Linked DNA regions of Caenorhabditis elegans. The protein of the gene in region 1 purifies or fractionates together with the protein of each later gene. This does not show direct contact. Each region holds a gene or a part of one and is shown in the gene's direction. Other genes may lie near its edges. The genes, in order: C09F9.2, gut-2 and cyh-1.

Region 1 (3,755 bases):
TTGGTGTTGGACGGCCCGGGTGGCGGCAACGTACACGTTTTGAACTGTTTTTCTTTTTTTTTTGGAATAAAATTTTTGGTGCTATCTGTAATCCCAAATTATCTGTTATAAATAGGCCCGGCCCACATTTTGGATAAACCTTTAGCAACTCAACAGGCCAGCGACCCCTTTTCTCGTTTGGCACCAAATCCCGCAAAGACCCTTCCCTCGCGCAACAACTTGTAATTACTCGCTTTCCTCGAGAACTTTCACTATTCCTATGGTATCTAATTATCAATTCCTTCCGCAAGATACGGTCTTCTTGTTTCATTTCTTGCCTCCGAAGAATCCCGAATCCCGAAGAATTTCCGCTTTTTGATTTCTTTCTGATTTTTTTCTCTTTTTGTTCGCTTAGATTTTCTACACAGTTCATGTCCCACTTTGTCAGCCAACAACATCAGCAATTCATATAAATTGGGGAAAGGGGGCTAAAAAGATAAATGGTGGATTGTATTGTGTTTTATAGGGTATATAGAAGTACACCGTTATGTGTTTTATGTATCCACTTTGGGCAAGCGAGGTGAGTGTCGGTTATGGGATGGTGAACCTGTCCTCCAGTAGGTAGATATCTTTCAGTCATTCACTCCTTTCCTCATAAAACTTTAAAAAAAAATACCGAAAAGGTTCATTCGAACCGTGGTGTTGGGCTCCAGAGCTATTTCTCCACTGTATTTAATGAAGCCCCACCATGCCAGTAACCATACCTCGCCGAGCCCTAGGTGCCCGATTTCAGGTGGTCATAGAGCACCCCAAGCTCCAAGTTTTGTAAATGGAAAAGTTTTCAAAATCTTCTAATCTTCTAACAAATCCCTTCTCCTTCTCCTCCTCCTCCCATCAATTTCAACCACTATGCACTATTGCACAACACGCACAGTCTTGCACTATCCCCTCATATCTCCGAAGCGGTCAAGGTCTTTGTGTGTCCGGTATGTTGTGTCTCATCATTTCATCCCGAATTTTTTTTCCATTTCTATCTCTTCCTCTGTTTTCTTATTTTTTGTTCGTTTTTCGTTCGAGAACATAGAACATCAAGGTTACTGGATCATCATCCACTTGCTGCACGGCTTTTAGACGCTTCTGTAGTCAATATATGTTAGTTTGTCTAACGCGTGCAAAAGCGGTCCACATTGCTCATGGGCGACTTCCAAGTTGATAGCCAAACGAACGTCAAGCTTATCTTGTTTTTTTTTCGAGTTTTCCAAATTTTCAGTCAATTTTCACAAGGTTTCGATGTTTTTTAAATACAATTTAAGTCGCCACGCCTAGGTCTGAGTTTATGTTTTTTTTAACTTAAAAAAACTAGGCGTGTGCTTATGCCTGGCTTTTATCCTAAGCATAATCCTAAGAATTTACATATGCCTAAGCTTCTCACCTGCGAAGACCAAGCACCAAGATATAAAGTTTCAATAAACTCAGGCGCAAGCCAAATTTTTTTATGGAGACTCTTTTTCCTAGCTACTATTCTCCAGACATTTTACTGAATAGTACTCACTTGCCAACAAGCATTTCATCCGAACAATAAGCAAAGAAAATCCTGTCATGCCAATAACTTATCGAATCTTTTTTCGTTTTTTTTCCTCTTCCTCCTACTCCCCACCCAACTGCTAATACTTGTTGTTCTCAGTTTTCACCACCCTTCCTACCAGTTCCACACGGCTTCTGTTCATCCTTCTTATACGTTTTTCATACCCACTTGAAATTGTGTTTAAACTGTATGTTGGGAGGAATTTCAAATTTTGAAACAAAAAATTGCGTTGTTTGCGTACTTTTACTTACTTATACCTCTCATATGTCACCTTGAAACCGTTTTGGAAATCTTTCGAGACTATGTTCACCCGGGAGTCAAACCTTGGAGTAATTTTCCAAAGGCAAGTCTTTTACCGACTGAGCCATAAGATATGGCTCCGTCGGTAAGATGGATGGTTTTGGAGCAGAAGGTCAAAGGTTGGACCCCCGAAATTCAAGAATGTAGTTTCTCGTATCTTCTTTATTCATCTGTGCATTCTAAAATGAACCAATAATTGCAGAAATGTTAATACGAGCAGTGTTAGCACTGCTTCTGGCGACCCTCGCCACGGCACACATCAAACTTGTCTACCCGCCAGCTCGAGCTCCGGCTCTCGACTTTTACAGCTCATCAAACAGTCAACCACCATGTGGAGTCAAGAAACCGGCACCCGGAGAAGGTGTCCGAACCTTCATGAAAGCCGGATCCACAGTTGAGATGAATTGGTTTGTAGCTGTTCCGCATATGGTTAGTTATGTTTAAAATTAGATTTTTTTATCTGAAAATTTAGATTTCCCGAAATAAAGCAGCAAATTTTAACTACAGAAATACAAAGACAAAAAGTCCAAAAATTGCCACTTGTTTTATCAAAAAGTTGCAAACTTTTTCTATGTTTCTGTAGTTAAACGTATGTTTTATATCTTCAAAATTAACCAACATTTTAGTGCGCCAAATCTATCATTTTCCTCACTCAATTTCAATTTTAAATTTAATGAAACGGTCACTAAATCCACTCGCTCATCTTTCTTACTTTCCTCACACAGCCATAAAAAGTGTATTACATAATAATGCGTTCGACCCGAATTGGTCCTACCAATTAGTGTCGGCATCTCGTACTATTGGGGGAGGAGGGAAGAGGGAAGAAAGGTGGATGGCATTGACCTGATCATAAACTATAGATATCAGAGACTCGGAGACAGGACCTGCCAATCCAATATGAGTTATCTGATTTTGGAAAGAGTGTTGAAACGTAATAATAGTACTGTTGTATTATTAGGGAGAAGATGGAAATTTTGGAGGAAAGTGCACATGGAGTACACTTGGCTTCTCTCCAAACAGCTGAAGAAAATTTTTCAAAAATCGGGCTATTTTCTGGAAATGTTCTGATAATTCAACTAAATTGGGGTTTGGCTGATATGCATGACCCGACATCTACGGGGTTCCGTGGCGTGCAAAGTTGAAGCTCAGGGAATTTCAAGGTGGCGGTGTCCGAGATTTCTTTAATATTCTAAAAAAAAAGTTATGCATTAATTCCCACTTGACTTATAAATTTCACTTTCCTCTAAAAAACAACTGCTGACCGACAAGAACCTCCTTGACTTTTTAAAACTGAACCCAACCAAGTATCTTTTCAATTGACTATCGGATTTGAACTAGGTTAAGAGATTGTGACTCTTCTCACTGAGAGAGAAAAAAGACGTTGATTGATGAAAAATTCCGTCGGTAAGATGACCCAGTTTAGCGGGAAAAAAGAAAATAACAGAAACAGTTGGATTTCCGGACAGAGAGGGATTTTTGGATTCAAAATCAATTAATAAAAAAACCATAACTTTCAGGGTGGAATTCGTTTGGAAGTTCTCAACTCGTCGGATGAGCCAATTGCCATTTTCACCAACTTCAATGATGCTTTTAACGTGACGTACGTTTTTTATTTTTAAACTTTATTTTTATTATCTGACGTAGTGCCCACATTTTATAGGTTTTCAAATTTTTCTAGAGTTTTCCAGAATTTTCCAGAGCCTTCCAGAGAAATTTGGAAGTTTCTCAAAAAGCTCAGAAAGTTTCCAAAAATTCCCTTTTAAAATTTTTTATTTTTCCGTTGTTTGCCGGAAATTTTAAGTGGGATAAAAAAATAATTTTAGATAATTTCATAGAACTTGGTTACTTTTCAAATTTTTTCCGGCAAATCGGCAAATCGGCAAATTGCCGG
Region 2 (3,371 bases), on another chromosome or scaffold:
GTCTTTCCCCTTGCACTGTTACTTTTTCCTCGAAAACCGCCTCAATTCGTTTCCTCTCCGCTGTATTCTGCAAACATTGTTTATAAAACCGGCAAATTGAAATTGAGTTTCAGGTTACAGCTTTGCCTAATACGATAAAATAAACAAAGAAATTAACTAACCCGCTCGAATTTTGAATTCAGGCTTATCATTTGTTCTTCATTAGATCCATTGATATTAGATAACATTTGAAGAGCATCTTGTGATTCTTGTACTTTATCTTCGAGCCTTTTAACGTTTTGCTTGTTTTCACTTAATTCGAACACGTTCTCTTCGATTCTGGCTTCTAATTGAACAACCCGTTCATTTCGTTGTTTCAATTCTTCGGATTGAGCATCATACGATATTTGCAACTGCTTCACAGTTTCTTCTCCTTCGCCAATTTTCTTTTCCAAGTTCTCATTTACGATGTGCTGTTTTTCACGTTCCATGCTTAAATTACGAATCGAATTTAGGTGTTCCTTGATTTCGATATCTTTCTCCTGAGAAATAGCATCCATTAGTTTTTGAGCATTAACTAGCTCAGTACGCAAAACATTCACATCATCTTCAGAAGGCCTCTGATCGAGCATCTTTTCAAGCCGAGAAACTTCGATTTCGTACCGAACAACATCTGATTTCACAACTTTCAGCTCTCTTTTCAGATCCTCCATTTCAACTTTGCCCGATTCAGATTCATCCGTAATTTCGCGCATTGTGACGCTCATCTGTTTCAATTTGGCCATCAAATCTCCACGTTCTTGTTTAACTTGTTGCAATTCTCGGGACTGCTGGCCGCTCTCTTTCTCAAGTTCCAGAAATTGCCGAGTAACCATTCCTTTGTCGGCTGTGAGAACTTGAATCTGCTGTGCCATGTATGGAATCTCATCTTCTGTGACTTCTGAAGCTATTGCCATTACCGATTTAATATTATCAAGTTCTTCTTTTATCCGTTCAGCAAAACGTTTCTCTTCGTTAACTCTTATTCGAAGCTCTTCAATTTCTTGATCTTTTGTAGCAAAGGCGAGTGGAGCTTGCTGAGGTGGAGTGTAATCGGGATGATTTCTGTTGGCTGATGTCTGAAACTATCAAAAAATTCTATTGAATCAGAGATTAATCAACTTACGTCAGAATGTTCTTTTTCAAAATGAACAGTAAGTTCATCAGGACCACCGAGCTCTACCATACACATTGGGCACAAGAACCCTTCGATCTCCTGATCATTTTCTGATTTTTGTGATTGCGACTGTGAACCTTGACTTGAAATACTTGGTCGACTGTTGTTTAGTCGGCCGTCAATCTAAATAAATTATCAAAATGGAAAAAACTAATTTTTTTACAAAACGGAAAACTTACATCATTCGCGACTTGCGAAACTTGTTCTTTCAACCTTCGAAGCATGTGTTCTGGAAAACAACAGTTCATCGATGCGATAATTCGAATGTAACGAACGGAGATTTAAATGTGATACACGAAATAGATTACAACAAATTGAGATATATCATCAGATCGATATAAACGAAGAGGGAAGGCGAAAAGCATTGATTTGACAACAAAACCGGCGCATTTTCTTCTCTTTCTGTCTCGAAAGATGATTCAAACATAGCGCAAAACAAACTGGCAAGTGGAATTCTCTGTTGGTCACTCAAATAAATAACCGGATTCCCTCTGATTTCTTTTCGTCTCTTCTCTCTCGTCTGGCAACGATGCTCCGTTTTGACGCAGTGCGCCTTGTTTATAATTAGTTTTGAATATTATTTTTTCATTAATTTTCTGAATCTTTGCAATTCTTCGACGATTTAACATAAAATGGTTAGTTTTCCTTTTAATTTTGTGATATAAATTGAAAAAGTACATACTCAAATTATTAAATGTGTTATAAAACTGTTGGTTGTCTCGGATATGAGGCTGTTCCGCTTAAATGTAATTTAAATTAATGGTTTAGGTATGTAGAAAGTCCCGAATTTTTGTTGTAACTCACGAAATATTACTATTTCAGCTGTTCTTCTCATTCTTCAAATCACTCGTAGGAAAGGACGTTGTCGTGGAGCTCAAAAATGATTTGAGGTGCGGTTTGTTAAATCAGTATATACAATTTACAGAAAATCGAGAAAATAACTGGAACCCATGTAAAACTTCAATTTCAAGACATTTCTTAAAAATTGGTTCACAAAAAATGCTTAAAACTTCTTGGGTTCAATATTCTGAATGTCTAGAAAGAATTCGAAACTCCCCGAAAATATGTATTAGCCAGACGGAAATCATTTTCAACGATACACTTCCACATAATGAAAATTCCGAATTTCTCGAAATCTCTTTAAACGCAAGTGCCATTCCTGGGTTTGAATTTAAATTATGAAATTCCATTTAAGATTAGTTCTGCTAATTTTTATAAGTTTTGAAGTTTAAATCTCACAAAATTAATATTTAAAAAATAATTATCTTATTCTAATCTCTCAAATGCAAATTCTAATAATTTTTCAGTATCTGCGGAACTCTGCACTCGGTCGATCAGTATCTCAACATGAAGTTGACCGATATCACCGTCTCCGATCCAGAACGATTTCCACATATGGTCTCTGTCAAAAACTGCTTCATCCGCGGATCCGTCGTCAGGTACAATTAGTTATCATTTTTCATAAATATTTCAAAATGATTCTTTAAAGGTACGTGCAACTCCCATCCGATCAAGTCGACACACAACTCTTGGCTGACTCCTGCCGGAAGGAGCTTCTCGATTCAAAGGCAAAACAGTAAATCCACGTGTTCATTCCTCAAAGTTCATCTCATTTTTTGTCAAGTTTGATATCATCTCATTTAAAAAAATATTTATTTTTATAAAAAATTCGTAACAAACAGGTTTTATTCACAGTTTCAAATGGTGTTTATTGCAGGCGTGTTCATTTTGTTTTCTCCATTGAGGGCACCGGTATGATAGTAGAAAGTATTTGATTGCTAAATAATTCCAGAATATTACGTACTGATGGCCACACCGTATTGTCCATAATGAGTCCAATAGGAGATGTTAAACGTGAGAAATAGTACAGGGAACATGACTCGAGATATAAGATCTGCTCTTTTCGACTTGTCATTCCATTCAGTCTTTGTTTTGATCCATTTCCAGACGCTATTTGTTTGACGGCGATTCATTCGAACTGTCATTACTTCTCGTTCTTGTTCAGCAACTTCTCGTGGTACCCACACATCGTTATGTGAATTTTGAAGGAATGGAAGTTCAGCTTTCTCTCTTTCAGTTCGAGCCCCTGAAAATTAGCAAAAAAAACGTAGGAAAAATTCTGAAAAAAAATCCCAACTGACTCTTATTAGCATCTTGCTTGTTTGCAATATAAGTC
Region 3 (3,755 bases), about 11 Mb from region 1:
GTTTTCGCTCTTTTTCGCCAGTTTTTTCGAATAAAAATTGAAATTGAATGATTTTCAGCTCAAAATGTCTGCGCTCTACTTCAAAAAGCTACGAAAACAGCAGAATCCCGACGTTTCAAGCAGCGAAGATTCGGATTCCGACGAGGAAATTCCAAAAAAGAAGCAAAAGCAACAAGTAATCACAAAAAACGGCGATTTTTGCAAATTTTTAGCGAAAAAAACCGAAAATTTCCCAGAAAAGCACCAAAAAAATCGATTTTCAGAAGCCTGTCGCCGAGGAATTCGATGATTTCGTCGTTGACAGAGCCGTACGTGAAGAAGCGCCAAAAGAAGGAGCTTTTGAGGCAGTTGACCTGCTCGGAACATCCTATTTGGAGCCATATGAGATGGATAAGGACTTGCAGGAGCTTCTGGAAAAGTCAGTTGTCGGGCCGAAGTTTGAAGGCGATCATCAGCCTCAAAATAGGCTTTTAGGCCGGAATGCGGCCGCCAGGCTGAAGAAAGTGCGTTGAAATCGATGAAAATTCGATTAAAATCGCTCAAAATCCAATAAAAATCGCTATTTTTCCAGTCAGAACGCGAAAAAACCAAAGGATCCGCTTGGTTCAACCTTCCAGCGACGGAGCTCACCGATGAGCACAAACGAGATTTGGAATTCCTTCAAATGAGATCAACTCTCGATCCATTGGCTCATTATCGTCGAAATGACCGGGCTGTACTGCCGAAATACTTCCAAGTTCGAGAAAATTTAAAAAATTCCCAAAAAATCCGAGATTTTTCAGGTTGGACGAGTCGTTGACGCTCCAGAAGACTTTTATTCGAGTAGAATGGTGCGAAAAGAGCGAAAAAAGACGATGGTCGACGAGATTTTGCATAATGAGGAATCGTTGAGCAAAGCCAAGAAAAAGTACGGGAAAATCAAGAATTTTTGTGAAAAAATTCAAGTTTTTGCGTTTTTAACGTTAAAATCGTGATTTTTAGAGCAAAAATGAGCTAAAAAGGATAAAAATTGGCCGATTTTCACCCAAAACGGCGAAATTTTGCCAAAAATCCTGGAAATTGATATTTTTAATGCAAAAACTCGCTAAAAACGGTAGAAATTGACCGATTTTCACTCAAAACGCCGAATTTTTGCCGAAAATCCTGTAAATCTGCAGTTTTTGCGTTTTTTTAACGTAAAATTATGATTTTGGACTCGAAAACCCCAAAAAAATGCTGAAAATTGATCGATTTTCACTTGAAACGACGAAATTTCGTCGAAAAAACCCGGAAATGGACAGTTTTTTACGTTTTTTAACGTAAAATTATGATTTTGGAGCTCAAAATTGGCTAAAATTGATGGAAAATGGTGAATTTTCGTTACAATATGGTTTTTTTTTAATAAAAAAAACATTTTCCAAGATTTTTACCGAAAAATTTGATTTTAGGAGCAAAAAAAAGCCGAATTTTCAGAAAATTTCGCCGAATTTTGTCCAAAAATGGCGAAAAACCGCAAACTTTTAACTGAAAACACGATTTTTGACCAAAAAAACGATAATTTCAACGTTTTTTTCCGGAAAATAATCGAAAATTTTGAGAATTTCAGTATTTTTTCCTGAAAAATCCGCTAAAATCTCTGAAAAAAGCACAGGTTTTCCCCCCAAAAATCGATTTTTCAATAAAAAAAAACTCAATTTTTTCGGATTTTGAGCAAAACAAACGGTTAAATTGTGTGAAAATAGCTCAAAAATCACATTTTTCCTCCGAAAAAATCGATTTTTATATCAAAAAGCTCCAATTTTTCCATATTTTCCTTCCAGATACGCTGAAATTCGCCAAAAAGAGCAATCTAAACGACGTGGAGCATTCCAAAAATTCGGAAATCGCAAATCTCACAAGCAACAGAGAGAATCAAAAATGAAGAATAAGAAGAAATAATTTTTTTTTGTTAATTTTTTGAATTTTCACATTTTTTTTCTGGTTTTTGTTGGAATTTTCTTGTTATAGACTCGTTTTTTTGTTATTTTGTCGATTTTTTGCCCATTTTTCACTAATTTTCACTGGTTTTCACCCAGAATTACCTTTTTTTTTACCGAAAATTTCAGCCAAAAAAATGGCAAAAATTCAGAAATGTACGCGACGAGCACACAAAAACGGGAATGGACGTATACACCGGAAAAGTTGGCCGCAATGCGTTTGGAGGTAGAAAAATTGGAATTTTTTATGGAAAATAGGCTAAAAACAGCAAAATTTTCACTTAAAACACGGAAAATTAACAATTTCGGCATTTTTTATTTAAAAAATTCGGAAAAAGTTGAAAATTTAGTCATTTTTATTGGAAAAATTAAGAATTTCGGCATTTTTTATTTAAAAATTCGAAAAATTGAGCATTTATTTCATTTTCTCTGAAAAATTCAGGAAAAGTTAGAAATTTCAACGTTTTTTCCGGAAAAATTTATTTTTTTGTTTTTTTTTTCTGAGAAAAATTGAAAAAAAGTAGAAATTCCTGTAATTTTACTGAAAAATCTGAGAATTCCACCGTTTTTTTTCCGGAAAAATGGATTTTTTTTCGCTTTTTCCTAAAAAAAAAACTGAAAAAACCTGAATTTTTCCTCAAAAAATTAAAAATGCCCAATTTTTTTGCAGATAAACATAAAATTCCGTCAAAAATACGAGTCAGTAATGCAGCCGGACGAGTTGGAGCTCTTTGTGACACCTGAAGAGGAGCTCAGAATGCAAAGATCAATTGAGGATGCTGCTTTGAAGTTAGAATTTGCTGGATTTCACCGAAAAATCGGAGAATTCCCGTCAAAATTTCATGAAAAACGCGAAAATTCCGGCTAAAATTGGATTTTTAGCATAAAAAATCCGAAAAAACCATGAAAAAAACAATTTTGTACCGGAAAATGTGGAAAAATGCGATTTTTTCTCAATTTTCTGCATTTTTTGCACCAAAAATTGTGAATTTCGGTTATTTTCTATGAAAAATTGAGAAAATCGGAATTTTTGCCATTTTTCCGATAGAAGTTCAGAAAAAATGCAGAAAATTCACAATTTTGGCTATTTTTTCTGAAAAAAATTTTTTTTTTAGTTTTTTAGTCGAGAAAACCCCAAAAGAAAACGATTTTCACACGAAAAAACCTGAAATTTTCAATTTTCCCACTCAAATACCAAAATTTTTCCAGATTCGCCGACAAATTCCGCCCACACATATGGCCATCAGTGAAATGGACAGCCTTGGCGTTTTTCAAGCGGGCTTTTCTTGTCTGGGTGCCATCAGACACGTCGATTAGGGTAAAAATTGAATTTTTAGCTGAAAATTAGTCAAAATCGCCGAATTTTTGATTTTTAAACGAAAAAACCTATTTTTCGGGCCATTTTTGCCCAAAAATTGTCAAAAATTCAATTTTTTCATACAAACTTCCGAATTTTTTTTAGTTTTAAACGAAAAAATTCTGCGATTTTTGGTGTAAAATTGACTAATTTTCGGCTTTTAAACGCAAAAACCTATTTTTCGACTCAATTTTGTGTAAAAATTGCCAAATATTTTGTTTTAAACGCAAAAATCGGCAAAATTTTGATTTTTTTAACGCAAAAACTTGGATTTCAACTCATTTTCACTCAAAAATCGCTAAAATTTTGATTTTTAAACTGAGAAAACTCAATTTTCTGCCGATTTTTGCCCAAAATTCCCCGAATTTCCAACATTTTCCATCAATTTTCCATTAAAAATCTTAATTTCAGATGGTAATGATGGCTTGCTTCTACTTGGCAAT

Evidence for each region.
Region 2: the proteins of C09F9.2 (region 1) and gut-2 fractionate together in Caenorhabditis elegans (co-fractionation; one large-scale study listed by BioGRID). This does not show direct contact.
Region 3: the proteins of C09F9.2 (region 1) and cyh-1 fractionate together in Caenorhabditis elegans (co-fractionation; one large-scale study listed by BioGRID). This does not show direct contact.

Annotation. Positions count from the first base shown.
Region 1 is NC_003280.10:14,703,448-14,707,202, forward strand, and holds the start of C09F9.2 (EGF-like domain-containing protein), read left to right. Parts: upstream 1-2,067; 5' UTR 2,068-2,068; coding exon 2,069-2,293; intron 2,294-3,381; coding exon 3,382-3,464; intron 3,465-3,755.
Region 2 is NC_003283.11:13,495,949-13,499,319, forward strand, and holds gut-2 (U6 snRNA-associated Sm-like protein LSm2), read left to right. Parts: upstream 1-1,792; 5' UTR 1,793-1,827; coding exon 1,828-1,830; intron 1,831-2,017; coding exon 2,018-2,085; intron 2,086-2,502; coding exon 2,503-2,634; intron 2,635-2,684; coding exon 2,685-2,775; 3' UTR 2,776-2,871; downstream 2,872-3,371. Other genes in the region: eea-1 (FYVE-type domain-containing protein), read right to left, coding at 1-67, 162-1,103, 1,145-1,318, 1,375-1,419; avr-15 (Ig-like domain-containing protein), read right to left, coding at 2,992-3,281, 3,337-3,371.
Region 3 is NC_003280.10:3,502,910-3,506,664, forward strand, and holds the start of cyh-1 (Cyclin-H), read left to right. Parts: upstream 1-2,109; coding exon 2,110-2,181; intron 2,182-2,625; coding exon 2,626-2,744; intron 2,745-3,164; coding exon 3,165-3,273; intron 3,274-3,723; coding exon 3,724-3,755. Other genes in the region: Y49F6B.2 (Fcf2 pre-rRNA processing C-terminal domain-containing protein), read left to right, coding at 65-175, 264-503, 572-736, 783-907, 1,800-1,917.